Linked DNA regions of Lepisosteus oculatus. The protein of the gene in region 2 interacts with the protein of the main gene of each other region in a biochemical or structural test. Links are inferred from orthologs where the notes say so. Each region holds a gene or a part of one and is shown on either strand. Other genes may lie near its edges. The genes, in order: ibtk and btk.

Region 1 (15,652 bases), on a different chromosome or scaffold from region 2:
CGACATGAGGCAGTGAATGTGGCCGTAGAACACACTCCTGTGCAAGGCCGTCCATCCTGATTCCTTGTCCTTCGCCAGCAGGTCTGCTCCTTTCACCTCCAGGAGCCAGTCCAGAAGGGACTTTTGCCCGAGCGAAGCTGCAAAGTGAAGGGCCGTCCGGCCGAACTCATCCTTCAGCGTGGCTGCATTGTGGCAACGGGCTGTGAGAAAGGCCTTGAGCTGGCTTTCTGTGCCCTTGGTCAGCGCAGAGATGACCTCCCGAGCGTGCTGAAGAGACCGGCACTTGGTTGTGCAGTCTGGGGGCAACAGGCTCATTCTGAATTGCCTCAGTGAGTCAGTCCCCGATTTTTCCTAGCAATACTTTAGTAATCCCTACTAATCCTCTCCAGAAAAAGAGGCTAACTCTTACGCTGGGAAATATGGTAAGAACCTGAGCCAGAAAATCAGCAGGGTGCTAGAACTGTGCTTGTGTTAAAATCCCACTGCACGCTAGCAACCCCACATTGCCCCTTTTCAGTTCATTTCAATCCAGCTTGAAAACTGCGATACGCAGAACATAGTAGAAGAACACATTTGGCACTTTATGCAGCATCAATAAATAAAGTATAAAAGTTTAGAAATATATACTTCTGTTTTCAATTTACAGTTTTGAGTGCTGTTTTATTTTCAAGTGTTCCGCAAAGGCAACAATTCTGACAACCTTCAATCAATTCTTTCAAACGAAACCATCCGGCAAAGGGGAAGAACCCCTTTCCCCCCCCAAACGCTCAAATCCTTTTAAGCCTCCATGATTGTAGAGGGTACCTAAAAGGAAGTGGAAAAGAAAACTTGTCAAGCTTGAGGCAAAAACTGAACCACCTTTACTGTCTACAGTGGTTTCTAACTCTATACAATTACTGAAACAATTTAAGAGCATATGATTTAGGCAGAACACTACAGTCACAACCACAAGTGAAATAAGTCTATTAAATTGCCTGGAATGTCTGGTACTGCTCAATAAACTGCAAAAATGCCTTCAAGTCCCCGTCCCAGCATAAACATTCATTTAATGGGATATTTACACAAGGGTCAGGTCTAAATGCAAAAGTCTGGAATTCAAAGAATAATGAACAAATAAAGTCTAAACAAATAATGAAATATAGGTTTCAATTACACTTCTAATAGGCTATCTGTGATCAGAAATGAATTCTGACATTCTGTACATCATTCAGTAATTATATCTTGGCCTGTATGACACATTTGTAATACTATAGAAACATTCTTTCTTAATCACTGTTCTAACACAAAATTCCATTAATACATCTGAAACAAGTTGAACTCAGATTAAAAATATCAATGAATTTACAGAGGAAAGGACAAAATAATTATTACTTTCAAATCTTTTTATAAAATCTACAAGTTACTAACACAACATTGGGAACAGAGAAAATTTCTGTGGCTGGGATATAAAAATCATGTTCAATTTCAAATTCTAACACTACAAAACAATTTCAACCCTGCCCTGCCAGGGAGTATAGTACTTTTTTTAAACATGTACCAAGAGTTTAAAAGAGAGGATTGAAGCCAAGACCTCTAAAAGACCTGTTTTTTAAAAACAGAGAAAGCAGATTTTTCTAGCTTTCACAATAGCTGGTAAATTAAGAATATTTTTCAGACCATTTGAAAGTCCAGCCTCTCCAGCTTTCCTTTCATTGTTATTAAGTAACTGGCCTTATTCTACAACTCGTCCTAATTAATGTACTTTAAAAGAGAATGTTATATATTCAGATGTAAGAAAATTGCGCTTCTTAAGTTTAATGAACACTCAAACATCCTGGACAGTAGTAGTTAAGATCTTTCAGCTAATAAACTAGAGTAATTTTAAAACACTGCTTCTGAACCCCAGTCCCTGAGGACTCCTCTATCATCAGATTGGTATTCCATCTGAGAAACGAAATGTCCCCTTCAACTGAACTGCTGGCTTCATTAGACCTTCCTGAACTGTTTTCTGCACGACTGTACGTCTCTCTGGTTTCAAAATCACCTTGCCAAGAAATTCAACAAATATAAATCTGCTAATCTTTCAGCTTGCCTATTCAATTTCTACTCCCCTATAAACTGTATGAACATGTCTTAATAAGTGGCCAATTCATGATGAATAATGATTCAGGAATAACACAGACTCAGCCACTGCCAGATCATTCAGTCTTTGCTCTCCATGTGTCCCTTTTCCAGACACATAAACGGGAGGAGCTCTGAAAACTCAAAAACTGATACAGGTTTGATGTTAATTCCTAACCCAAGTCTATGCTTCAACAGCAAAAAACAGTTTAGAAAATAAAAAGGTCTGATCAAAGAAGTATAGTAGTTCAGTTCAAGGCTTTAATTAGCCTAAGCAATTAAAAGCTCAACTTCAATGAAAGCCAGAAGACAAAGAAGCACACCAGCATCACAGTTGAGAACCACTAGTTAATTAAAAATGAATAATCATTACTTACTTATAATAGTAATAATATTTGTCTTTTGAATTAACTATGTAGCATAGATATATTCATATTCCATTGTGAGATTTTTAAAATAATTCACAATATATCTTTTCTACTTATTAGTAACTGTTTGTTTTTATGCATTTATCTAAGTTTATGATAGTGTTAGACTGTTTTGTCTATTTCAAAATATTTGTCTCTCATGTGTTCCATTCAAAATGTTTGAGTAGTCAGTACCTAATGGGTAAATGTCATTTAAGGTGATGAAAAGCACATATGCCTGTACACAATGGGATTGCAGTCAGATTTTGATTGGTTGTCTTGGTTGACATTATTTAGGGTTATAAACCCACCTGTTCCTCAGGCAAAGGGGAAAAACAGCAGTAGACAAGGGAAACAGAAGAAGACAAGACTACAGCCAGAGGTCACCAACTGCAGATATTAGTGGAGACTCTAGGAACACATCTTCAGCTCTACAGGTAAAAATGTAGGCAACCAGACAGACATTACTTCTTAATAGTAATGCATGCTACTGTAGTGTTAGCAAACTTAACCATTTTCAATTTCATTAGTCACCTTCACTGTACATTAAAAACTCAACCTTGCTGCCTGGGCACATCTCAGATAGGCCAAAGTGCTATATGTATCAACTGATACAGTCTAATTAAGCTAATTAGAGTTTTCATCTGACTGTGGGGAATGATGCTACATTCTTTGATAGTCTCCACGTCCATCTCCCTTAGGGTTTGCGGATGCCTTCAAAGACCCTGAACATGATAATCAGTGCTGTCCCAGAGATACCAGGTCAGACAAAAGTAGGACACTATCCTACTAATCACTTTCTGGAAGAATTGTGGTTGATTTTTTGTCTTGGAGTGACATATAATCACTAAAAAGGTTAGTGAGGATAAATATCTCTAATGTGGCATTCTTAAAACAACACTCTCAAAGATGATGGAAGGGTCTTAGCAGGTCTAATAACTCTGAACTATCCACTTTGCAGCTTATGACCAATTATCTGTCAATTTGCTTGCCAACATCTTTTGAAGCTTCAGGTGTACTAGAACATCATTCCTTTCTGCTTTACACAACCAAAGTAACATAAAACGTAAGGGACAGTTTTGTCATTTTCCAACCATCTCTCTAATCAAATACAACACATATTCAAAAACACTATGTTAAAAACACATGCAGACTACATGTACAGTATCTTTTGCCAGGGAGTATATCACACTGTGTTAAGACAACTTCTCATCAGCAGCTGAGAAAAAGAAGTTGTAAAATTTTAAGATATCATATACTTGTACACTCATGTATAATCCATCAGAAGTTATTGAAATTTCAAGATAAGCAAATGCTTCAAACAAGTTTTTGTTGTATGGCAGGTGCTTTGTGAGAGAATTAAACTACTATCAAGACCTGTGTAATTCACCAGAACAACTGGTTTCAAACCAGGCTGTGGAAAGCATTTAAAACGTTTTTCAAATGATGGTTACTTTAACAGTGCAGCAAGTTTGCAGGACTCATGGCTCATACAAAAGTCTCAGTATAGCTGTTGGTATTTATCAAAACAATGGCTGTGTTTGAAGTATGACTGATAATATGGTTACAACAGTAATGAGGAAACAGGAAAGAAATTCCACCCAAAACCTGAAACACACTACCACCGAACCCAGTAGCATCTGCAATTCAAGACATGCCGGAGAGTACATGGACAAAGATTCAAAGCCAATAGAAACTTTTCAGTCTATAAGTATCTTATCCCTCTTCTTGCAGAGACAGAGGCAATACAATACCACACAGTTATTTAAACAAATACATACAGATTACTGTATTTATTCACCAGCATTCTAATTTCAAATCTGATTGATGAAAAGTACTGGTAATAAAAAGCTTCAGATTTTTTATTATTAAAAACTCTATATCGTGATACATGTCGTTACCATCCAAAATTAGAATTATACTGTGATTTAAATTTTAGGCCATATCGCCCAGCCCTATTTTGAAGTGGTGCATATATCAACTGTCACAAAGCAAAAATGTCAACCTTTTTAGACAGAGATATTAAAGAACCTCACAGCAAACAGCTCCTAAAAGCAAACAATGTACCTGACAGTGCAGATTCTGAGTCATTCTGACTAGAGCAGAGACATTTGCTTTGTTGGACTCTTGTGACAGCACATGCAATTTTTACATCAGATAGGATGTTGCCAACATTGAGTGATGAAATTTATCTTCAGCTTTCAACAGATTCAGTCCCTCTTCTGAATAAGTGTACCTAACGAATTATATAATGGAAGTACAAATTCTAGCTGTATCCTTTTCAAATCCATTACAGTTTATAACTACCTCACTGTCTGGCACAGAACAGGAATGACCAGACTTGACTTACTGTGTATTGTGCAGGTTTTGTGGAGCCACCCATGTTTAAGGTTTTAACACAGGAGTCTCAAACCCTCATCCTGGAGAACTCGTCCAGTTAATCCTATAGTGCACCCTATCACCTGTATTTTTTTAATTATTTGATCATTTGAAAGTTTTTGAACAATTTATCAAGTCATTGGTGATCCCTCACAGTCAAAGAGGGTCTTCCATAAGCCCCTAGGCGCCTGATCATTCCGGTACAGGATCTGCACTCTCTCTCGCAGGTTGGGTGGGTGTTGTCTCTGAAGATATCTGGTTTTGTAATGCACATTCTGGTCAAGGTGAGACATTTTCACTGTGCTTTCTTATTCTGGTCTCTTTGAGTCTGAAAGTGCTGGGCTCCTTCCCAGATATTATTCCTCCAACCAGTTCGTTCAAGGGCCATAATACTCTGGGAGCTGATATGATGCAATGCAACATTTTACTTTTACCATATATTAAGAAACCTACACCTGTCCTCTGGTGCAACTGCCCAAAAGAGAACCACCTTTTGAAGCCTGGATTCTGACATCTGAACAACGTCAACCAAATAGCAGAGTTTATAGTGTCAGAGCATGTGCTGTCTCCTGGGGACAGGACACTACTGTAACGCTTCGGGGCTCAGGCGGGCGCCCTTGCCGCATTAGGTCGGCCCCCCACCGTCGGGGACTCGAACCCGGGATTCACGCGTCACTCAGCAGGGAGCCAGCCAGGTGAGCTCAAGAGAGATCTCTCCACAGCCCAGGGGCTGTGGTCCTGCTATCACAGGGAAGGGCGGCGACGTCACCGCTCTGGTAAGCCGGCTCTTACACAGTACCTGTCGGCCGTATGCGTTACACTACATTGTTCACATAAGGTAACTCAGGTCCTTGAGATCTGATGTGTCTTGTTCCAGATGTTGCCTGTTGGTCGGCGCTGTTGCCACGCTGAGTTTGAGTCCAGTCTGGGGACCTGCTGTGTGGAGTTTGCCATGTTGTCATCGTGGCTGCATGTGGCTCTAACAGGCGCTCTGGTCTCCTCCCTAGGGTAGCCGGCATCTCTAAATTGTCCCCGGTGAGCAGGATGCCAGTCCATGGCACTTGTCCAGGGTGGATCCTGCCTTGCGCCCACTGTCAGGTTGGGCTTTGGTTCAACAGGACTCTGTGCCGGTCTAAGTGGATTTTGAAAATTGATGTTTTCTAAGTTTCTTAATTTTAACAAAATATCCACTGAACAATGTCAAATTTTTCCAGGTCTTCAGAAATGTATAAGTTAATGATTACCTATAAAACCTCCTAAACAGAGACTCTCCAGAAAGAGGGTTGGAAAACCCTGCTTTCAAAAGTCACTTCAACCAACACTTTCTGCTCAACTAAACTCAAATCCCAAGTTCAACAGACTAGTGTCTTACAGTTCAGTGCATCTCTAAGCCTTTGCAATGATTTCATCATGTTATATCAATGTGAACTTCATGTTAAGCCTACACAAGGAAAGGACTTGCAGCCCCTCCACAATATTAAGATTCAGGTTGGATTTTACTCAAAGTAGCCTAAATGTTATGTTCACCAACATGAGCATGTCTTTGTTTAATAATTCGTTGACAGAAAAATCTTTCAATAAAAGGGACAGAAATCTTGTGACATTCGAAATGTTTTGAAGGTTTATCTTTAACTAATGCATGCAACTTCAAAACCTCAGTGCCCCTAAATTGTGTCCTGGGGGTATACCCACTATATATCATTGAAAAAATACGACTATGCTCCGTTAACATTTAGGTCGGCCTTTTTATCTTATAGATATTAATTGCAGGGAACGTACGAGAATAAACGTTTGTGCCTTCCAGTATGTACTGTACTGTAAACCTGTCCATACAGTTCAGTGGTTCATTAGCACCGACGTTCGTATTTGTTTGGCAAAACTGGTTAAGAAGAAGCCTGTGGAGCATCACGTGCAAAAGGATTAACTAAAATACTACAAAGCAGGCGTGTGAAAATTGTCACCTGATTCGTAAAATGAAACTTTATAACAAACAGTGCAAGTTCCCATGGGTCAAAGACATACATATTGTAAAAATTAAACTTTATTAAACGTATTACACTAGGACTGAAGGTGACAGACATGTAAATGAGACAGCACTTTTCTAGCTATATCCCGAATTCCTTAATAACTCCTAAAGTGTTAATTGAATGAGTAAGCTAAAATATTTCTCTAGATAGCCATTGCAATTGGTATAACAAAATAAAGGTCTTCGTTATTCAAGTTGCACTGAATATTTTCGGCGTCTAACCAGCACTTACGCAAGTTATGTATTTTCGATTTGTTTTTTGCAGGGACACTTTCTGTGGTGTCTGAAAATAGCTTGTATTGAGTAGGATACGTTAACTCACTGATAACATGAAGTTCAACACTTAACATGAGAAAGATTACAAAAAATCTATCCTACAAGTGAATCTTTTTATGGTACTGTTGGGGAAGGATAATGACCGAAATGGGGTGTGAACCTCCACGCATGTTAAAAATATTTATGTAATACCGAAAATGTTCATAAAGCCAGACTGACTTGACACATCATCACTATGGATTGTACTCGTGAACCAGTTTTCAATGTTGGCAGAAAGCTTACCTGTCGCTAGTTGAAGGCGAAAATGGTGCATTGGCCACTCTCGTGGGTACTTGTCCATAAACTCATTTTTCAATTAATATACTTCGTACGCTGTACAAAATAAGCTTTTGACAGTTGCACTGCAAATTATTAGTTAAGCAAGAACCTCTCTTTGCCCATCAAACTTAAGAGACCGAATAACATGAAGCCATCTGATTGGTAGAAAAATCTAGCATATTATTTCGCCATTGGATAAACAACAGGAAGCTTTAAAAGGCCTTAAAGGGGCCGTGTACCCTCTGCCTTGGCCTATTTATACACATAGGTTTGACATAAGTCAATAGGCACTTCAGTTTGGAAACAAGTCAGCTCTGGAAGAGCCCAGGAGAGTGGAGCGGCTCTGGACTTGTAAACAGAGCCAAAATCCTGTGTGGCAATCCAGGTGGGGCTGCACATTGGTGGTGGTGGAGGGGAGTAAAATGCTTTGAATGGAGTGTCTAGAAAAGCACTATATAAGTGTAAGCAATTATTAAATGTGAATTGCTGGGGATAAAATAGTTGGCTCAATAAATTAGTAATAAAAGGACTGGGATAAATGATTCCATAAATATCTTAATTAATATTTAAGAGAATACTCTAGCGCTCTATGGTTCACGCGGGTATGCGCCCTCGCCACTGCCGCCTCAGGTTGGCCCCCCGCCGCTGGGGACTCGAACCCGGGCCTCTGGTGTCACTAAACAGGGAACCAGCCAGCTGAGCTAAAGGGAAATCTCCTGTCAGCCAGGGGGCTGAGGTCCCTGCTATTCACAGTGAAGGGCGGTGACGTCACAGCGCTGACAAGCCAGCTCGCACAGCCTCTGATGTTGGCCGTATGCGTTACAATACTCTCTTTTATCAGTTTGCTTTATGTGTGTCAGGAATACTTGTTTATGGCTGTGTTGTGTAGTTGAGATAACAATCCTAAACACCAGCCCAATTTGAACATAAAGGAGAGAGTGGATTTAGTGGGGCAGTTTGGTGGGGATAGAGCAAGGTTAGTGTTGTTGTCTGGTAAATGATATATGATGCCAGGCATTACATTTGTTTACTGTGTTGCAAGGGTAGTTTTAACTGGGGATTTCTTATTTCCACGAAAATACTTTATAGGGTAATTTTCATAGGTAGGCAGAAGCTGTGCTCAAGCAGTCTAGATGTTTCAGACTAATGTCACTTTTCCTTTCCAAAGTGCCCACAGAGAGATGTATGTGAAACAGCAAGAATTTCTTCCATATAAGATGAGAGTACAATAACCACGGAAGTTCTAGATTCCACAAGAATTTCACTTGCTGTACATCCATGTTGATATGGGACCACTCTGCCAACAGCAGTAAGAGTCACGTAGCTTCTTACAGACTGAATTGTTTATCCTGCTGTTTATTATCTACCAGCCACTGCATTGAGTTGCACTTAGGTTACATGGGTATTGTTGCCCTTCACATAAACTCGATGGTTTTCTATTTTTGTCTTTATACAATGCACCAGAGGTACATTGAACAAATCTTCATACCTCTTTTCAGGTTTCTTGCATCAGTTCTCTTTCCAATAGTACAACACAATAAGGAATGTATAGTATATTCTACTTCTTTATCGTGTGACATACAGTACTTATGTCAAGGGTCTTTATTATACCAGATGATCTAACGTTTTGTTAAAAAGATACCTTATGTGGATGAAAATTTGTCATCAACTGTGTTGGTCGACAGTCTCAACAATCTCCCAGACTAGTAGCATAAGTAAACATGAAAATACCGTTCAGCTATAGTCACTGATTCACCATTTTATTGTAATGAGAGAAACGAATTCCCAAGCTATCAAAGCATTCTGAAACAATATCATTTGTTTTCTAAGTATGATGCAATATTCCCTAAAAAACACAGTGGTTCTTTTAATCACACATATCCAAACAATCTTTACAAATATTGAGAAAAGCAGCAACAGTCGAAACACAAAAGGAACACAAAAATATAAAAATCATTTATTTGAAAGGTTTATTGGATTTGTTGACTGATTTGAGAAAATTGATGCTTATTCTATCTATGAAAATATTAAACTTCTCCTTAAAAAAAGATCTGGGATTGCAAACTTGCCAGTCAAAGCTTAGTGTTATGCACAATGTTATGGCTGCTCCTATAACAGTCAATGTAAAAAAGAAAAAAGGTGCTGAACAAAATGCTGCAAGATCACCCCGTGCTGCAAATATACACTGCATAGCTCATAAATTGAATCTGATTTTAGTCAAGGCTTCAAAGTAAATGACGTAGCAAACGTAGCAATTTGTTTGCAATCTGGAGGATGTGTTAACCTTCCTTTTACAGCCTAGCATGCATCATGCCTATGTACTGTATGTAGAGAGCCACAATAAAGGAGAGACTGAAAGTGAACATCATGTTATTGCCAGAAGATTTTATTTAAATTAATTGCATTTTAATTAACAGCTAATATTTCATAATTACTTATAATACTAATGTTTCTTTCTTCTTCATTTTTAATACCCATACTCAAATATGCAGGGCACTGCAAAAGCATCTTAACCCTATCTGTGGTGTACAATTTGGTGAAATTATGAAACGATGCATTCACATTTTCTCAAATGTAGTTTTTTCAAAACCCAAACTCTCAGAGTGAAGATCTCTAGGAGAGAAAAGAGAAAAGTCTATGAAGGGTATTCAAGTATTCAAACTTGAAAATTCAGTGTTTGTTGAAAGCACCTTTGGAAGCAATTGCAGATGCAAGTTTGTTTGGGTAAGTCTGTTCCCGATCTGCATACTGGCGATGAGCATTAACCTTGTCTTCTAAAGAAATGACCATGTGGGAAAATCCATCTCCCAACATTACAGAACCACCAGAGCTCTTCGCTGTTGGAACCGGCAACACTGGGCTGTAGAGTTCTTTAGATTTGCGCCACAAGCGCTTGTCCGCTTGCCCAGTGACAGATTGTGAAAGATGATTCATCTGACCATATCCCATTTCGCCATTGCTTGGCAATCCATTGACCATTCTTTTTGGACCACTGGACTTCGAAGCTTGGATTTCCGGGTGTGATGAGCAGTACAGTGCATATACACTGCATTCTGACTATGGAGGTCCTGACAGGCCGTCTTTGACAAAACTCACTGCTTATGCTAGAGGTTGAAGTCTGCAGCCAATTGTTCTAGAGTTGCTCTCTTGTTTTGTTTTTGTCACGGATGTCGGAAGGGACGAACCGTGGAATGACAGGAGAGCAAAAAGACCCTATACGTAGCAGCGAGACGGGGGTTAGCCCGGCCTCAGCTGTTCAGAGAATGCCATATAGAAACCTACAGTATGCCCTCAGGTAGCAGACGTGGGACAACCTGGTGCCAGGCGGGTTTCAGGACATCCGAACGGCAATGCTGAGCGCCGGCAGAATGAAAGACCCGGAAATATATAGCCCCAGAGAGAGACAGGACAGAGAACGAGTGCCCTCTGGCTACAGAGGGCATGACAGTTTTGCATTTCAAACTAATGCACAGATATCACGATCCTGGAGTATGCACTTACGCCCACTGTTGCACTTGGCTTTGACTCTTTCCCTCTGAGTTACTGTACATGCTGACACCTCCTTGGACACCATTGCTAGTGAAACATAAGCAAGTTACGCTGTCTTGGAAACTGAAGCTCCTGGCAAGTTGGCTGTAACAGTCACTTCTCATTCCAGATCACCGAGTTCTCATCTTCCGGACATGTTGGCAATAATTTTAGGCAACCAGCATTTTTATACATGATCTTAAGCATGCTGGTGTAACCCTGTCTTAAGGGGGCCGGGTATTAGAATATTAGTATTATTAATAATGGTATTAAGCTATATTAATAACAGATTATCAATACTATTCATAATGAACACAATTGTATATTGATAATATTATAATATTAATAATATGATTAGGTATTAATAGTATTAATATACTGTATGGGAATTAGTATTAGGTATCTAACTACCAGCCTGCACAAGGTACTATTCCCGACTCCTGTGCCCCACACCTCACCACCTGGTTACACTGGGATATGATTTATTGACAGTAATTAATGCATAAGCTTTACTTATTTGGATACCCTAGCTTTCAATATATTTGGTCTATTTCAAAGTGTCATAGCTGCTCTAAAGCAAGAAAATATGAAAACTTTGTTTTGAGACTGAAAAGTTTTGTGATTTAATGGACATTCGACAATAACAGACACCCTTCTCTTTTATTAGTCCATTAAACAGAGGATTTTTTGTATATCATAATTGAGCAAAATGAGACTTTGTTGGGAGGAGATGAATGCTCTTGCAAGGCACTATATTTTGTAAAAAATGTTTTCTACTTGAAGCTGATTTTGGTAGTTTAGTTTGCCCTATGTTAAACAATTCACAGTTAAAAAAGTTTTAATTATTGTAGTCACTGCCTTTAAAAGTAATTAAGACAAAATTAAGTATTCAGAAAATATATTTTAGTAATTGCTTGTGATCTAATGTTAAACGTTTATTAAAACTTGAATCTTTGAGATTATCTAATTATTCACACGCCTTTTATCTATGCTTAACATACTGGAATATTAAAAACACTTCAGCTCAAAGAAGTACTCATCTGACATTCAAATGGGAGTGGTTTGGCAGACCAAAAGGTCATTCTTATTTTCATTTAGAAGGGTTATAATTTCTTGCCAGTTGTCACAAGTCCTGATGAAACCTTTAAGTGGACCTAAGGACATACAGTAGGTGGATTTTTGAGACAGTCTTTCAATTTCTCTCACTTCAAAGTTCTCACTGCCTTCAAACTTGTCTTTATAGGTGTCAGCAGAACCAGTTATGGGAATTAGCCCAAACATTGGCCAGAAAACACAGCACAAGCAAGCTTCGGGTACCCTTTCTAGCCATTTCCCTTTAAAAGCGTGAACAATATACTGTAGTCCTAAAAAACAGCTCAGTTGTCTGCAGTCTTTATGAATTTCTTTGCTACGCCAGGTTCAGTGTCCTAGGAGCATTAGATAGTTCTCTAGTGTATCACAATGCCTGATGCACTCCTCCTAAAATGACTGTCAAATTTGAGACCTACAGTATGACTGCCCTCAGCTGGTTTAGCCCAACCATCAGTGCAGGATGCTGGGGTAAGGCAGCTAGCACATTCAAACATAAGCTAAGAGAAAGAGGGGAGACCTTAGTGCAAGGTAAATAGATCTATTTGGACATTGTGTGCCTCCACCTTGCATAACATTGTGCAGTTATAGTTAACTTTGGTTAGAGTGCCCTGTTCATTAAAGAGGACGGGTGGTTGGGATACATAGTATTGTTTAAAACAAAGGTCACTACTGGAAGAGGTGTTAGTGGGGCCAGCAGGGGGCACTCACCCTACAGTCCCTGTGGGTCTTAATGCCCCAGTATAGTGACAGGGACACTATACTGTAAACAGGCGCCGTCCTTCAGATGAGACGTAAAACCGAGGTCCTGACTCTCTGTGGTCATTAAAAATCCTAGGGCATTTCTCAAAAAGAGCAGAGGTGTAATCCCGGAATCCTGTCCAAATTTCCTCCTGCCCCTTACCAATCATGGCCTCCAAATACCCTCTATGAATTGGCTTCATTACTCTCCTCTCCTCCCCACTGATAGTTGATAGTGTGGTGAGCGTTCTGGCGCACTATGGCTGCCGTCGCATCATCCAGGTGGGGCTGCACATTGGTGGTGGTGGAGGGGAGTCCCCATTACCTGTAAAGCGTTTTGAGTGGAGTGTCCAAAAAGCGCTATATACAGTAAGTATAAGCAATTATTATTATTATTATTATTATTATTATTATTATTATTATTATTATTATTATTATGAGTGCCTGTGCACTTTTAGGAGAAACAAAGACTTCAATTCAAGGTATTGTAGTTGTTATTATTGCTTATTTGATACTATCTACTTAAGATCTTGATCTTATCTTTCAGATAAGAAAGTTTAAAGAAAATTACTTTAGAAGCTCTATACCTTCAGTTGGAAAAACCTGCACCAGTTCTGTTCACGTTAAACATTTCAGCAAGTGGTAGCTTACTGCCAGTTCGTATGATATCTAAAGCTCTTCGGTGCCTAGATGACGTGAAGCACCGCTCGGTAATATTATCACAAAACTGTTATGTTTGGATAAAATCTGGCAAACAAACAATATAGAATCTATTACATTGTCAATAGCATTTATCAATGCTTTTCATTGTATCACCTTCAAATTGTTTGGTTGGGGGAACGTCAAAATCCGATACCCAGAGAGCTTCAGATATTGTTTGCAAGACTGCTCAGTAGATATCCAGCAAGGGCTATGGTTAACATTCACACTCTACTTAGACAATTTGTAAGTTCAGCGCTGGATGTTGGGGCCCAAGTCAACTTTAAGACAAGTGCTTTTTTGCTTCTATCTGAATTTTTTTTTCGGAGACTCTTCGGTGCTCGGATTGCGTGTAGCTCCGCTCGGTTATTTTGACCTAAAACTGTGTTGGTCGTATCGAAACTTGCAACCAAACATTACAGAATCCTTAACATTTGCAAGAGCTTTTATCAATGCGTTTTATTGTATCACCTTCAAATTGCTTGGTTGGGGGAACATCAAAATCCGATACTCAGAGAGCTTTACATATTGATTCCAGGACTGCTCTTAGACACCTCAGCTAGGGTTATGGTTAACATTCACACTCTACTTAGACAATTTGTAAGTTCATCACTGGCTTTTGGGGCCCTAGTCAACTTTAAGACAAGTGCTTTTTTGCTTCTATCTGAATATTTTTTTTCGGAGCCTCTTCGCTGCCCAGATGGCACGAAGCACCGCTTGGTTATTTTGACCTAAAGCTCTGATGGTCGAATTAAATGTTGCAACCAAACATTATAGAATCTAATACATTTACAGATGCGTTTATCAATGCTTTTTATTGTGTCACCTTCAAATTGTTTGGTTTGGGGAAATTTTCAAAATCGGATACCCTGAGAGCTTCTGATATTGATTGCAGGACTGCTCAGTAGACACCCCAGCTAGGCTTAGGGTTAACACTAACAGTCTACTTAGACAGTTTGTAAGTTCAGCGCTGGATTTTGGGGCCCAAGTCAACTTTAGGACAAGTGATTTTTTGCTTCTATCTGAATTTTTTTTATCGGAGACTTTTCGGTGCCTAGATGGCACGGAGCCCCACTCGGTTATTTTCACCCAAAGCTGTGAAGGTTGAATGAAATGTTGCAACCAAACATTAAAGAATCTATTACATTTGAAAGAGCATTTATCAATGCTTTTCATTGTATCACCTTAAAATTGTTTGATTGGGGGAACGTCAAAATCCGATACCCAGAGGGCTTCAGATATTGTTTGCAAGACTGCTCAGTAGATATCCCAGCTAGGGTTAGGGTTAACATTCACACTCTACTTAGACAATTTTTAAGTTCAGCACTGGATTGTAGGGCCCAAGTAAACTTTCGGACAACTGGTTTTTTGCTTCTATCTGAATTTTATTTCGGAGACTCTTTGGTGCCCAGATGGCACGGAGCCCCGCTTGGTAATTTTGACCCAAACCTGTGATGGTAGAATGAAATGTTGCAACCAAACATTATAGAATCTATTACATTTTCAAGAGCTTTTATCAATGCTTTTCATGGTATCACCTTCAAATTCGTTGGTTGGGGGAACATTTCAAAATCCGATACTCAGAGAGTTTCAGTAATTGATTGCGGGACTGCTCAGTAGACACCCCAGCTAGGGTTAGGGTTAACATTCACACTCTACTTATACAATTTGTAAGTTCAGCTCTAGATTTTGGGGCCCAAGTCAACTTTAGGACAAATGATTTTTTGCTTCTATCTGAATTTTTTTTTTTCGGAGACTCTTCGGTGCCCAGATGGCAAAGAGCTCCGCTTGGTAATTTTGACCCAAAACAGTGATGGTCGAATCAAATGTTGCAACCAAACATGATAGAATCTCTTACATTTGCAAGAGCTTTTATCAATGCTTTTGATTGTATCACCTTCAAATTGTTTGTTTGGGGGAACATTTTAAAATCCGATACCCAGAGAGCTTCAGTAATTGACTGCGGGAGTGCTCAGTAGACACCCCAGCTAGGGTTAGGGTTAACACTCACAGTCTACTTAGACAGTTTGTAAGTTCAGCGCTGGAGTTTGGGGTCCAAGTCAACTTTAGGACAAGTGCTTTTTTGCTT
Region 2 (15,671 bases):
ACTACAATTGGCTTCTTCAGGCAAACATTCTACTGAGGTGGTCGCATTAATCGATTTAAACTGCATTCAATATGCAAGAGATCTCCGGCATTAGAGAACAAACCATGGCAACAGCAAGAGCCTTTTGAGCACCAATCTTTAAATGCGAAAAGGCATCTTCCAAACTTCAATACCTCCAAGACGTTTATGGTCAGATGTCTGATACAAGTCAGTTCTAAAGGAAAACAACATTTCGATTCGGAAAAATGATCCCAGCCCCATCTAGCTGGGGTGAGAGACAAGCAGGTGTCCTGAACATGTGGGTGAAATGTCAGGTGCTGAGGTGAGCCGTGCTGCTCAGAACGGCCTGGGCCAATGAGGGGGGGGCTGCTTGCTCCTTACCTTTCTCTTCTTGTCTCCTCCCAGCTCGAAGTGCTTGCACCTCTTGATGGCCAGCATTCTCTTGGACCTGCAATTCGGCTCCACACACTCCAGCCTCAGCACAATCTTTTTGGTGGTTTTAGCCTGTTTTGAAGAGACAAGGCCATTTTTAGGCACTCAATTTGCAACAGGAAGGAACAGGGCTAAACGCTGGAGCAGCAACAAAGGCTAAGCGTTTTACAGAAACCAAACTCATTTCCGACACCACAACACAAATGAAAGACAGCTCTTGTGTTATTCCCAAGAATTTCACAAATCTCAGTAATCAAAAGACAAAACCATCCATTTTAAAAAAATAAAACTGTGATGATAAATAGTATACCAAAGTTATGTCTGTGAAGCAATACGGAAAATGTATAATTCATCAGTTTGTGATAATTAGCATTTATACCTTTTTACGGAATATAGGCTTCGTTTGACCACCATAACCGCTCTGCTTCCTGTCGTATCTTCTCTTACCTGGAATGAAAAAAAGCACTAGATGTTTTAAAAGACTTTAAACCAACGTTTGTACAAAAGGGACAGTACTGAAAGAGAAGAAAATAAAGAACCCTGCTACTGCGCCAGGGCGTCCTGCCAGTGTGGCCCCTGATGCCCCATGCGAGGGCAGACACTCACCCTGGGCATACAGGGAGTCTTTGCCCTTCTTGTACTGGGTCACTTTGTGGGGCTGGTGCTTCTTGCACTTTTTGCAGTAGGTCCTGCGGGTTTTCGGCACGTTCACCTAAACGTCACAATGAGAGGGGAAAAAACATCAGAAAGGGGGCAGCTATTCAACCTTAGCATACTAGGGGACAGGACCTGGAAAACACCAGGTCATTTTAAGCATTACGAGAGTAGAAACTTGTCTCTGTATTTGTCCCTAACTTTTAATGACCATATGGCTACCAGCTGATAATGCATTAAGACCGTCCAGGCACTGAAGGATCCTAAATTAATTCCAACAGCAGCTTCCTTAAAGCTACCCAGCCTGCTCCGCGGCCTGGTCCAGGTCCTGCTGTGTGGAGCCTGCATGCTCTCTCAGAGCATGCTGCTCGTCTCTGCCCGCTCCGGTGTCCTCCCATAGCCCCTAGACTCGTGGCCGGGTCGGACTGGCATCTGAACCAGCCCTGCCTGGCACCCTCTTCGACCAGGCCAGCCTCTGGACTACAGCCGCAGTGGTCTCACACGTCCCTTCCGAGTCCGCCCGTAACCACTCAGCTCCGCTCCATGAAAACAGCTCGGTAAACTTCGCAACAAAAAAAAACTGCAGCCATCGGAGCAAGCTTACCACCCGACCCGTATTGGTGGCTGTCGAAAAGTAGCATTTTCGTACAACTGCCCCCTAAGACCTGACCAGTCGTGTTACTGTTCAAATCAAAGACTGCCCGTGGGCTTTATTAAACCAGCTCTAACGAGCAAGCTCAGACAACTTTGCAATGTGAAAATGACACACGGCGGACCCACACAGCACAAACTCCCAAACACCACTCCGTGGAAATACAAAATCCGCCACCCAGAGCACACAGCAACGACAGCATGCGTACTAAACATGTGCGTTTAAACACACAGCCCAAGGGAAATACAGTTTGGTAACGTATTGCGGAGCGTTCCGACAAAATAAGGCAGCCATTTTCTAACCCTACACTTTTCGGCCCCGCATACAACACTTATTCGTAATGTTTCAGTTTTGCAAACCCAACACCAGCCATAATGGGGTCCACACGTAGCCAAGACACTCGTGAACACGATAACTGTGTTTGGATGCTACAGGGAAACTTCAGGTTGAAAGATTACAATTGATTAAAAAAAGAAACGAGAGCCGAGTGTCGCTTACCATGATTGCCAACCCGTTGCAGAAGCGAAGAGGAAGAGCTGCCCCGGAAGCAGATGCATATATGAAAAGTCGGGGGGAAGCTACTACTCGTGTTCATAGCGCGGTTGTAGGAGACGCGCCGCCTAGCGTTCAGGAAGTGTAAGAAGACAATAAAAACTGCTTCTGTCATGTGCCGCAACTTAATTCCCAGTGCGGAAAGAAGTTTTTAAGTTTTACTCGGCTCAAGAAAAGCTGTTTCCTTACATCTTCTGACTTTCATCAGTGTGAAATATCAGAGAAAATGTTACAAATAATTATGTCTGTGATTACTGGCTGTGTCACAAAGAGAAGTAGGCCTGTTAACGGCTGGTTCATAGCGTATTAAAAGCAGAAAAAAAAACATAAATCAAATTAGCATTAAAATATCACAGCGCAGATAACGACCTATGGCGATGTTTTTGCTCTCGGCTTTGTTCTATGCAAAAAGTGCAGTATATCATCTTGAAACTCCCACCACTTTTTCAGATCACAAACATTATTGAGTTTCCATGCATGACATTAAATATTAAGGAACAAGTGATAGGTTTATTCCATGCTGAAAAAAAGAAGAAAGAGAACACAACGTTTCGGCCGTGGAGCCTTCTTCAGGTGTGTCTGTTAGGGTTGGTGAGGGTGTTCGGGGTGTTGATGGTTTTCTTCTGTAGAAGATGACTGAGTTTTTTGTCCTTCTCTGTAGAGAGAAACTGGTAGAGTTTAGAGTTGAGAGACCTAATGAGGTTAGTTATGAAGGGAAGATGATGTGGAGCTCAGCCGTAGAAATTCCTTAGCCTCTTTGATGTTGTTGTCGGAAAGGATAATCTGTTTTTTGAGGGAGAAAATGGTAGAGAGCATTAGTTTCCTAGAAAATTGTTTTAGAAGTCTCTGAGTGTTACTCTGGGTGGTATCAGAATCAAAAGAAAAGGTATGAAATTTAAGGCGAAATCCTTTAGGGATGATATTATGTCGACGACATCTGTAAAGGAATAGAAGGTGTTTAGAAAGCCTGGTCTTGGAACAGATAGCTGTGAAGAGACGGAATGCTGGTTTAGTGAGAGAAGCGGGCAAGTGGCCCAGGGAGGAAGAGAAGGTATGACGAAGAGATCTAGAAAAAGATTTGGAGGAAGGCATAGTGGGTGACAGCAGCTGTAGGCGGTAGTATCTTCAGACACTTCTTCAGACACACCTGAAGAAGGCTCCACGGCCGAAACGTTGTGTTTTCTTTCTTCTCTTTTCAGCATGGAATAAACCTATTACTTGTTCCTTTGCAGCCTACGCATGCTGACGCAGCTCCCCACCTGAACTATTAAATATTAAGTACAGGCTTCCCTTGTGAGTCGTCTCCTGGCTACTCTCTCGCTTTTCTATGCCATTAAAAACAACAAACTTTAAAAAACCGACATGTATAAAAACACGTTTCTCTGCACTGGTGAAACCGGGGCAGGTGACAATCCCCAAGATATTAAGTGAAGCAAGGAAATGTTTTTCAGTATTTTGAACTTTTGTGAAGAGTTAGGGTTAAAATCGGCTGTCCTGAGTTTGAGGTCTGGTGAGGACCCTGGTCCGCAGAAATTTTGTTCTCACTTATTCTCTTCACTGAAGACTTGTCCTTATATGTTCTGAAGACTTCATTTAGATTTGATGTGATGGAGACAGAAAGACAGGCAGACAGACAAACAGACGATGCAGTGTCAGATGTAATACCTGAAGCAGTAGTAGTTATTCCTTTTCTCAAATCACTAAAAAGTTGCAAAGTCACTACAAGTCAGCATTCAAAATTCACCAGTATTGCTGCCTTCAGGGTTTTTTTAAGGACATTAGATGCCAAAGAGGCAAAGAGGGGTTAAGGTACGACACAAATCACTAAATATGTAGTCTGTCCTCTCTCAACTGACTGAATATCTCAACAAAATGTGAACAAATATGAAAATAAGCAGGAAGCAAAAGGGGAACTAGGCAGACTTAGTTCCTATTTTAAGGGTGGGGCTTTGGTGTCTGCTGTCACAGCCTGAAGAGGAATTAGTGCTGAACAGCTGTGTTGCTGTGATCTGTCGGAGGGCAGCAGGCAGCAGGCAGCCCAGCTCCTGGCAGAGCTCTCCACAAGTGCAAAGGTAAGAGCTGTGTGCTGATGTTATCTGCTCTGTTAGCACTAGGGGTCTCTGTGGGGGGAGGGCAGGATTGCTGGAGGCCACCGGCTTCAGCTCTGGAGAAGGGAAAGAGTTTCAGTCCTCCATCAGCAGGGGTGTGTCACAGGATGCTTCACATTCACAGGTCCTTGTGGTGTCTGAAGGAGCGAAGGCTTACCTTTCTTAAAATATGGATGTCTCTTTTTGTTTTATTCTGAAAAAGTAACTTCAACTTCAGCGAAAGGGTTCTTAATATTAATATTTTAGGGATGCTATTTGCCTCTTGTGCTGGAGTATCTTAATCTTCCTTTCGGGCCAGCTTGGATACCTGTCCTCCCTTGGTCCTCTTAGTCCTGATTCTTTGCCTCAGGATAATGCTCTCTGAGAAAGCCAGCTGCTCTGTGATGTATTTTCATTTCTATTTTAACCTATGTTCTGGAATTTGCATTACTATTATTCAGAAATTGAACAGATTTTGCAGACATATCAGGGGCCATCGGACTGCTGAGTAACTGACTTCAGAAGAGTAACTCTTGTGCTCTGACAGTCGGCCTAACGTTCGGGCTCCTGTACTTCTGTAATTAAGGGGACATTGTATGCAGACTCTGTGCAAGCAGGGTACAGTAAAATGGTTTTGCGATGCAAATGTGTTATTAACAGACGGAAAAACTGTAGGCACTACTCCACCACCATCCCCCCCCATATAAAAAGATCTGACATCCTGATCCAAACAATAGTCATTGTTCAAGCTGAAAATGACAGGCTGCATGAGCCGCCACCAGCTCAGCAGGGCTCATCCATCTGCTGTGAGCTTGAGGTAAAGAAGTGGTGAAGGCTTCAGAGCGGCTCTAGAGAATATATTTAACGCCTGCAGCATGGTTGGGGTTTCCTTTTAGAAATGTGTGATGAATGGTTACATTTTGGCATTAATAAAGAAAACACCAAATAAGATCAAGTTTCTGGTGCATTGCCATTTCAATGCAAAATGCAGAACGTTTCTTACTTTTTTTTTGGAAAGCAGACATGCTCGTTTTCTTAGAACATGCCAGGAAATTGATTTATGCAACCAGACTCTAAACGGGAAATTCTGCTCCTTGCCTGACTACCAGTGTACTTGTGGCTTGTCTCTTTATCTTTTCTCAGCTGTGAGATACAGAGGGAAATGACTCTAGTCCTTGGCTAATGTAGACAGTACAGGACACCATTACAACTCTTACAAAACTATAGAATTGCTGTAAAAAATAACTTTAGCCTTCTGTCTATATAATTTTTATCTTATTTGTTTGTGCCTATCAACATAGAAAGCAGCACAGACTAAAGCTCTCTTATCCTATCTTGTGAGCTGCAGAAACTTGTCTGTTTCCCTGCATTTTCAGACCTGTACCTTAATTGACAGACTCTCTTCCCACACTTTAACCCCACTCTGTGGCAGAATATGTGATTTCAGAAACTGCAACGTTCCATTTTAGAAAGTAAAATGGTTGGTTCAATGTGCAGTTTTAGTGTTGTTATCTAATTTCTGTCTGATGTATCCTGACCAGCAAAGAGACCACAACATCTACTGTATCACGTACCATCAGCTAGAAAAGGCTGGCAGTTCTGTATTTATAAAGCAGTTTCATAACATTTATATGAAAAAGAAAAGTTTTTACTGGTAGAATTATCGGATTTTATTTGTAAATATTCAAAAAGGTTAGATTTGGAGATGGCCTTTAAGGAAGAATATCTTTCATAATTTACACATAGAAAATAACATTTTAATATAGAAAATAATTTTAAAAAGTACTGTGTGTGCATACCCTCCCTTAAACAGCACGGTGTACATAATAAAATAATTATATTATGTTGAATTTTAGTAATTAACTATGAATTTACATGTTAAATGTTTTAATAAAGTCAGTAAATGTATTCAAATCATGCAGATCTTCAAACATGTTTTTAATAACAATATTTTTAATAATAAATATCATGTTTTTTTTTTATTAACCTATTTAGGAGGAATTCTAAATTAGAAGTGTTCAGTCATAATTCCACACAATAGCCTCACTTTATTGGCTCCTTAGCCAACCACAGATACTTGTGGATCCTGGTGCCCTGAGCAGGGTTGTGCTCAATGGATGACATACTGTACTGTAGCTCCAGGTCTGTAGGAATAACCTGTGGGAATAACCTCTTTTATTATTCTTTATTTATCTGCCTTATTTATCTTAGTAAATAAGATATAAAAGAAATAATCTTCTTTAGTATCACCTTAGGTCATCTAAAAAATGTAGAAGTATAATAACTGAAACTGCTGATAATTTAATTTAAGATGCAAATATCATTGCACTCATTGACCAAACAATTTGACCATGATAAGCTGAATAACGTCCTCTTGTATAGAAACGTTCTCTTGCTAAGTACACTGCCATCAGGCCTGGTTTTCACTGAGATAATCTGTTCTTTTAATGTGATAATATTAGAATATTATGTAGCACTGCTAGGCATTGGTAAATTGTTCTTTTCTTTAAAAAAGTCATGAAGTCGTGTTTATTGTGCATTCATATCAAAACACGCTCCAAATGTTATCTGCACTGATGCTTTTTAAGTAGGACAGTTCCCTACAAAATAATCAGCTTATTTAAAATGCTTTTGCAAATCATATAATGCCAGAAAGTTTAGAAAAGGTGCCATTACAGTCTGTGTTGGTTTTAATCTCTATGCTTGGTCCATCCTATGCTACCAGCTACAAAATGTGATTTAAAACTATGAGCACTATTTATCTAAAATGATTCAAGTGATCACATATACCCATATATGAAGAAGCTAGCAGGCTGTGGAAGCAAATGAGATGTTGTTCTGTGAATAATTTGCTGTTCTTATAATCTACGTCTTGAAGTAACATCTTTTGAAATACTTTCGTTATTTGTGAAAGAGAGCAACAACAACCTATTCACGATTTGTCTTTATAAAGAAAATAAAGTACCATGAGCAGCAGAGGACAGTGTAAATGAGGAACTGCTTCTTTTTACAAAACAACAAAACAAAAATAACAGGAGTAGTACTTAACATTTGTTTACTTCTTTCATCATTTTACCAAATTTTTGTGTACCGAAATCTCTCATGTTTAAAAAATGATTTAAGAATAACACAACCGAATAGTGACCGTTGGGCCACGTGTTGCTGACTTTTATGCGCACGTGCTTCGATTAGGCAGGCAGAGCCCGAGAGCGACAAAATTCATTTGTAATCTGTGGAGTTACCCTCCGTAATATCTCTTGAAATACATCTTTATAGAGCCTTTCACATGTATCAAGCTGGAAATTACTCCCTCAAATCAACAATACAGGATGTACAATTTGCATTTTCAGATACCTGGGAGCCTAACAGATTAACAATTGTTTTAATACAGTAGGTAGCAGAAACAATATTTTTTTGTTTTTGCATAGTATGTTTGTTTTTATTAATGAGACACAGCAGCTATCACCTTAAACACACTCTTTCCTTATTTTAATCTTCGCTGCATCAGGAAACTCGCAAAAAGCTAGAAATTCCTTTTAGTTACTTTTTCCAATGAACTTTCTTAGAGAAAAGGAACATGAAGGAACTGAACACTGTTGAATCATCCCTTCATTGTACCATTCTGCATATAAACCAAGAGATTCAACACATCTCCTCACTGGTGTCAGAAATAAAGAAATATACAGTATATTACTGCAGAGTCAGTGGAGTAGGAATTCTTCCCTGAATATGTACAAAATCAATTCAATGGAAGAGACCACGTCTGATGAGTGTCAGCATGTTTTGCACGCACTGAGCTGTACACAGCTACATGACTACAACATCTGAAACATTTCTGTCTCAGTCTGCAAAGTGAAATGCTAAGAGCTTTGCAGATAAGATCCCCACACTGCTGGTTCTAATCTCAAATTTGAGTTTTTTTATATTTATATTAGCATCTCGGGGTTCCTAGGTCCTTTCACAGTATTCTATATAAACAGTATTTTCAGGATAGATTTAATCTAGAACCACAGTAAGAGAAAAGTTCTGTAATTCTCATGTAATCCCAATTAAATGATGTAGGTTCTTGCCTGCTATTGATGCATTTCTTAAAACAATCTATCAATCCACTGAGTGTGAGACCACTTTAGTCCAAACTGTATTTCACAGAGAGAGGGCAAAGCCTGGAAACATCACTCATGTAAAGAGACAACGTTTGTGGAGGACTAACCACACAGAGGACATCTTCTGCCTGGTGTAAAATCAATAGACAATAAATAGGCCAGCCACTGATATGAGCAGTCCATTAAGCCCAGGCTGCAAAGTATAAAGTGGCATAAATGCAGCAATTTAAAAAAAAAATAAGACTCAAATGTCACTTTACAGTGTGCGTCCGGTGGGCCGCGTGCCCTGCGTTACTCGCTGTTGTTATGATTGCTAATTGACTAGAAGCACCCTTGCTGCTTCTATTATTGCCAGGAAGTCTGCGGGGGAAGCAGGTCCTCATCACAGCCCCACGAGCCTGATTACAGGTGGGAGAAGACCCTGCTCACTACCGCAGCGCCAGCGGGACAGTGGACAGTCTGGTGGTCAGAACGATCTCCCAGTTCATGTAGAGAAGAATGGAGGATAGCCTCAGCCCACATGCCTGTCAATGGATATACTGTACCTACGATATACCTAAGACGCACGTGGCTTCCACGCCAGCTCTGGAGCTCATACTGGGTACTAGAAGCCCCCCTTGTGTCTATCTCTAAGACATGGCAAACCCCATAACGTGGTGTGGAGCTACTCTGCTTGAAGGGCGGTAGAGGATCTTAAAAACAGTGCTGCTACACTTTCTTTCAGAAGGGATTCCTAAAGGTGAAGTTTGGTAACCTGTCAAATAACATGCCAGAACTCGGGATAAGAGACTGCAGAAAGGAAGTCTAAAATCAAGGATGGCAGAAACTGGTTCCTCAATTCAGCAGCAGTTTGTGAGCTGGGACCTTCGTTCCAGACAAAAGCTGACATTGCTGCTGGATAAGGGCAGCATGGTCCCCAAGCTGTACATGTGTTTTTCTTTAATGACAGAGGGGGGAAATACTGCATAGTTCACGCCTACAGCAGGGCAGCAACAAAAAACAACAAAAAAAAGCTAAGAACGCAAAACACTTTGTATCAGCAGTTTAGTGCATGATTAGTGTGAAGAGCAGGTGATAATCAGCAACTGAAGAGGCAGGAAATGGTTAGAGGGGTTTAAAATAGGCGTCTCAGCAGCCCTGACAGCCATGCCTCTTCAGAGAGAAAGACGAGCAGATCTTCATTCTCGCAGCTGTAATGTGGAAAGGTAAGGATGCTCCACTGGGTTTCCCGAGCAGCTCCAGCTGGAGGAGCAAGACTGCCATGCTGACGAGGAGGAGGGGTGAGGGCTGGGAGTGATTGGTGTCGATGGAGATGCACCGCGCACCAGTCTTGCATCACTTGACTTCACAGCGATAATGCAGCGAAGACTGAGAACTGTTACACTGCAACAAAACCTCACTCGTTCTAATTCTAGGCACAGACTGCAGACCTTTTCCCCAATACTGTTGGTGTCTTTTATTTTTATTTCATGCAAGACCATTTATATGTGCAACAACAGCCAGTCGAGCTCTTTTAAAAGTCTATAGGAGAGTTAGATACATATTCCTTGATTACTTTATTAGTATGACAGATGTGTGCTAGGTGGTCCTGTTGTAACAAAGAACTGCAAGTGTGGGGGTTAACCTAGCCTGCATTGTCATGAAAAATAAGTGCAAACCTTGTTTTGTTTTTTGGGCTCTTTTGTTTAGCAAAGTTTGCATATGGCTTTGACAGTTTCACCACGCACAAGGTGCTTACTGTAAATGGTCAGACTGTAGGTGTTTTACAAATGCAAATGAATTCGCCATTCAAGGTAAGTTTATTTGGTTGTTTTGTTTAATGGTTTGAAAATGGTTCTTGTAAATAGTGGATGTGTTGTATTATACAAGAGCCTCTGACTAAACAGTTTTTGGCTGGACTTTTCATCAATAATAAATAAATTCTATTAGAAATTTAGATGGTTTATTTATGTGCCCAAAATAATTATTAAGCTGTTCATGAATGTTGGGAAGTAGCCAACTGTTACTTTCTACACAGCAATGTGAAAAAGAATATTTAAACTTTCTGTGTGCCAGGAAAATATATGCAACAATGTCTGAAAAAAAACACATTTATATTCAAATAATAAGGATGGCACATGGAATCTTTATCAATGCACACGAGCAGTTTAGATGTTGAAATTTAGAATGTTGTTCACTAGTTACATTCAAGTTACAGTATTTACAACACATGTAAAGCCCAGGAAGCTTTATCTAAGGGGAAACTTCTATGAGGAAATGTTTTCAAAAAGGACATTATTTGCATTATAAGAGGCACATGCAAATTCTATTATATTTATACACAGATATCTTTCATTTCAGTTTCATTCAGAGAATTTCCCAGATGTATTGCCTTTCCTGAAAGCCCATCACCAGCAGGTAAGTCATGTTACAGCAACATAAGAATGTTTCTTGAAGGAAACCAGGGTTTGAACTTCAACAGGATGGCTGGATAGCTTATTCCAGACTCCCACTACACTTTGTGTAAAGATTAATATCTTGTAATCTTGTGTATTGGTTAAATGCACTCTTACTGATGTCTTCTGGTTCAACAGGCCTTACTGTTGATACCAAAGAAACCCATTGGGTTGCCTTTATCAGTGTCTGAGAATTGTGAATACTTTAATCAGGTCTCCTCATAATGTGCTGACAGGTTGGATGACTAGTCCATAGGATGTAATGGGTTAAAACATACTGTACATGAGAGAAGGTCTATATTAGAGGTAACACATTTCACCATCTCTGAACTGATCTAACAGCTTTAAGATGCTAGTGTGAAAGTTGCAACTGTGCTGGGTGGGTGTGACTAATGAGAGAGTGTGTGTGATCCCATGGAGACATGCCAAGGCCTATAGCAGGTTTACTGTAGGTGGAAGTCACCAGATCTTTAATAAAATAACATATGCAATAAGGTGCTCAACACAATAGCACAACACAGAGAGTACTTTAAATGTAGAAATGTATTGGTTAGCATTATAAAATCTGCAAGACATATTTCCTTTTTACTAAATGATAGAAGAAGATGGTAAAATTAAATGTATAATTAATAAGGTTGCATGCTGAAAGGGCCTTCTCTCTTCACAATGGTCACATAAGGGAAGGGTGAGATACTATGTTTGTGCTACACTGATGTGCAGTATACAGTAAGTCTCCCAGACACTGAAAGTCTGCTCAAGCCAGGAAGCTAATTTTGCACACCAACGATTGCAGGAGACCTGTGCCATTAATGACTAGACTTGAAGTACTGCACGTCCTTTCTGAATCATCTAATCTGTGTGAGGGTGCAAATAATATTAATTAATACACATTGTATGAACTTAGGGGCAATATCGGCCTTGACATTTGGAAAAAAATGTCTGATAGGAAAAATGTACTTATACACCCATGCTGAGCCATAGTTATTTTATGACACTGTAGAGAATGCAGCTGTACTTTCTGGATCTTTATCTTAAGTGGATGGCTCTTGCCTCCCTGGTTTGCTCTGGAAGGTCCTGCTGCGCTGCTTGGTCATGCACATAGAGGGTGATGTGCAAAATACCTTAATGCTCAATGGTATCATATTGCATTTCCAATGGTCACTCTCAAACAAGTTTTACAGCCATTGCTTAGAGTCATTTCTGTCAGCATCGTGTATGTAGAATTACGTGAAGAGAGTCACTGCAGCCAGCATGCTATCGATTTAAAACAACCAGTGCAGGACTCTTGTGCAGGGATCACAGTGAGATGGTCCTGTTTGAGATGGTCCAGACCCTGTTTGAAAAGGTCATGTTGCATATCCAGCAGATGGGCTTGGTCCCCTGCGGAGAAACTGATTCTTTGTCTTGCAAAGTGAAGGACTGCTGTCCTGTTGTTTCAGGTAGACCCTCAGCTGTAGGATTAGACCATGTCAGAAAACATCCTGGAAGAGATTTTTGTAAAACGCTCCCAGCAGAAGAAGAAAACCTCACCGCTGAACTACAAGGAAAGGCTCTTTATTCTGACGAATGACAAGATAAGCTACTATGACTATGATTTTGATAAAGGGGTATGTAAAGCGCTCACCACAGTAGATTGTATAAACCCAGAGGAGGCAGGGGGATCCATCATCAGGATGAATGTCTTGGCTTTTTCGATGCTTGATGTTTACTTGCTGTATGAGCTTGCTAGCTGTGTCCTCTGGTTCGTGTTTCACTGTTGATTCTGAAGGGCTTTCTCAGTGTGCCTGACAATTTTGACTACTTGAGTCAGGCTCCTTCATAGTGTGCTGACAGGATGAATGAACCATCCAGAGAACACGATGCCTGATCACAGTATGGCAGTGCTGCTGCGGTAAATCATCATCGCTGCAGCTCACCTGTTGCCGTAATCTGATGGTGTGTTTTCCACTCAGAAAAGGAAGAGTTTGAAAGGCTGCGTGGAGGTTGAGAAGATCAAATGTGTAGAGACGGTGCTTCCAGAGGAGAACGCTCCTGCAGACCGGCTCTTCCCATTCCAGGTATACAGCAGGAGTGGCAGCCTAGCTCCCATCAGCCCCTGCAGCCATTTTCCCAAACATGTTACCCTCACAGGACAGCTACCCCTGCTACACAGCTGCCCCCACATCACACCACACCTACCCCTGCTACACAGCTGCCCCCACATCACACCACACCTACCCCTGCTACACAGCTGCCCCCACACCACACCACACTTACCCCTGCTACACAGCTGCCCCCACATCACACCACACCTACCCCTGCTACACAGCTGCCCCCACACCACACCTACCCCTGCTACACAGCTGCCCCCACATCACACCACACCTACCCCTGCTACACAGCTGCCCCCACACCACACCACACCTACCCCTGCTACACAGCTGCCCCCACATCACACCACACCTACCCCTGCTACACAGCTGCCCCCACATCACACCACACCTACCCCTGCTACACAGCTGCCCCCACACCACACCACACCTACCCCTGCTACACAGCTGCCCCCACACCACACCTACCCCTGCTCCACAGCTGCCCCTACATCACACCACACCTACCCCTGCTACACAGCTGCCCCCACACCACACCACACCTACCCCTGCTACACAGCTGCCCCCACACCACACCACACCTACCCCTGCTACACAGCTGCCCCCACATCACACCACACCTACCCCTGCTACACATCTGCCCCCACATCACACCACACCTACCCCTGCTACACAGCTGCCCCCACACCACACCACACCTACCCCTGCTACACAGCTGCCCCCACACCACACCTACCCCTGCTACACAGCTGCCCCTACATCACACCACACCTACCCCTGCTACACAGCTGCCCCCACATCACACCACACCTGCCCCTGCTACACAGCTGCCCCCACATCACACCACACCTACCCCTGCTACACAGCTGCCCCCACATCACACCACACCTACCCCTGCTACACAGCTGCCCCCACATCACACCACACCTACCCCTGCTACACAGCTGCCCCCACATCACACCACACCTACCCCTGCTCCACAGACACCTCCACATTACACCCAAACTGTTCAGCAGCTCATCCCTAATAGGGAAGCAGCACAACAAAGCAGAGAAGCGTCACTTCAGTCTTTTAGTTCTTTTCAATTCAGTGGTTTCTCTTGGAAATGGACATGTTTTTTATTATGCAGTAAAAAAAGGACGCGCTCCTCTGTGTCATGTTGTGAGCTGTGCTCCTCCCCTCTCCCTCCATGTGTCAGTCCCTCGATTTGGAGGCTGTTGAGTCAGTTTCTCTTCCTCATTTAGTTAAACTCCTCCACCTCTGGCCCCTTCGGAGACTCGTGGCATGTTCAGAAGGCAACAGTGATGAAGCAGCTCATGACCTTAAGCCCAGACCCACATCTCCCACTCGGCCTGCACACAACAACATAACAATAAACCTGTTGTTGTTTTGTAGATTTGATTTTTTTTAAATCTACTACTATCTAATCTAGGTTTCTTAATTACGTTTTATAAAAAACACATGCAATGCACATGTGCACTTCTTGCAGAATGAGCTGATCTCAGTACCATTCTGTGGAAAGCTGCCCATCTGGAGAATGGGTTTTGTGCAGTGACACCAGGAGGAGAATGAGGAAACACTAAAACAAAGCGAGTCATCTTCCTCCTGACTCTGCAAACCCTTCCTGTTTGTGCTTGTGCTCAGCCTTTCGTCTGCAAGATTTGATTTGGTTGGTTGTATCAGATTCAGTATCCTTTTTCTAAATACTACTTATAGAGTATTTGTGCACACTGTGATGCAGTGTTATTATAGTAAATGTTTCCTTAAATTATTGTTTTACTGTAAAAAAACTGCCATCCATCCATTTTCATTCGCCGCTGTTTCCAGGACAGTGTTGTCCTGTCAAGCAACAGGTCCAAAGCAGGGTACACCATGGATGGGAAGCCAGTCAGTTGCAGGGCACACACCTACGCAGGCAGGCACACACTCAGAACAGGTACAGTTTTTTACAGAAGCCAATTAATCTATAGTATCAGCAGGGGAAAATCTGGGAGAAAAACAAGTGTCTGGAGGAAAGCCAAGCGAACACAGGGAGAACATACAAACTCCATGCAGGCAGCACCCCAGGAATTGAGCCCAGGGCCCCAGTGCCACGAGGCTGCAATGCTGACCACTGCGCCAGCCGTATGCAAAAAATGGAAAATTTCCACAACAAATGTTTCAAGTTCTGCCTTCTCCAAGGGTTAAAGTTTTTTCATTGAGTCATTTCATTAAATTCATTGAGTTTTTTTCCATTTATATATATATTGGCACCATATCATGAAAGTAAAAATATTTCACTGTATGAAATTAAACATAGTGTCTTTTTCTTTAGAACGTCAAAATCTGTGTGTTTCTGCTACAGTATCTAGCATGTACTGTTGTAGCATATTTCTACCACATCCTTCGTTACCACGAGTAGGCCACAATATGCATAATCCCTGCTTAACATTACTGGCATCTTCTTTATTGTGAGCTAAGCATTGCTCATGGTTTCACTTTGAGTACTCTTTCCTATTTTAACAGAAAGGCCAGTGGTAGATATACTGTAGGGCCCACTTTGTGATCCAATATTAAAAACAGCCGATGTGAAGGCTGCAAACTAATTAAGCCCTCCAGCTTGCTAATTAGTCGCTCAACATGTACAGACTGAGAAAGAAAATAGGAGAAGTGAGACTGGCTCCCTT

The links.
Region 1: the proteins of btk (region 2) and ibtk form a complex in vitro, tested with the Homo sapiens proteins (2 studies listed by BioGRID). The link is inferred for Lepisosteus oculatus from reciprocal best matches to the Homo sapiens genes BTK and IBTK.

Annotation. Positions count from the first base shown.
Region 1 is NC_090697.1:31,160,732-31,176,383, forward strand, and holds the start of ibtk (inhibitor of Bruton tyrosine kinase), read right to left. Parts: upstream 7,659-15,652; 5' UTR 7,471-7,658; intron 805-7,470; 5' UTR 316-804; coding exon 1-315. UniProt on the Homo sapiens protein: Acts as an inhibitor of BTK tyrosine kinase activity, thereby playing a role in B-cell development. Down-regulates BTK kinase activity, leading to interference with BTK-mediated calcium mobilization and NF-kappa-B-driven transcription.
Region 2 is NC_090703.1:50,873,288-50,888,958, reverse strand, and holds the start of btk (tyrosine-protein kinase BTK), read left to right. Parts: upstream 1-4,254; 5' UTR 4,255-4,362; intron 4,363-9,503; exon of another isoform or gene 9,504-9,685; intron 9,686-10,820; 5' UTR 10,821-10,877; intron 10,878-12,354; 5' UTR 12,355-12,381; coding exon 12,382-12,522; intron 12,523-12,867; coding exon 12,868-12,972; intron 12,973-13,078; exon of another isoform or gene 13,079-13,882; intron 13,883-15,671. Other genes in the region: rpl36a (large ribosomal subunit protein eL42), read right to left, coding at 382-504, 812-879, 1,039-1,144, 2,237-2,239. UniProt on the Homo sapiens protein: Non-receptor tyrosine kinase indispensable for B lymphocyte development, differentiation and signaling. Binding of antigen to the B-cell antigen receptor (BCR) triggers signaling that ultimately leads to B-cell activation.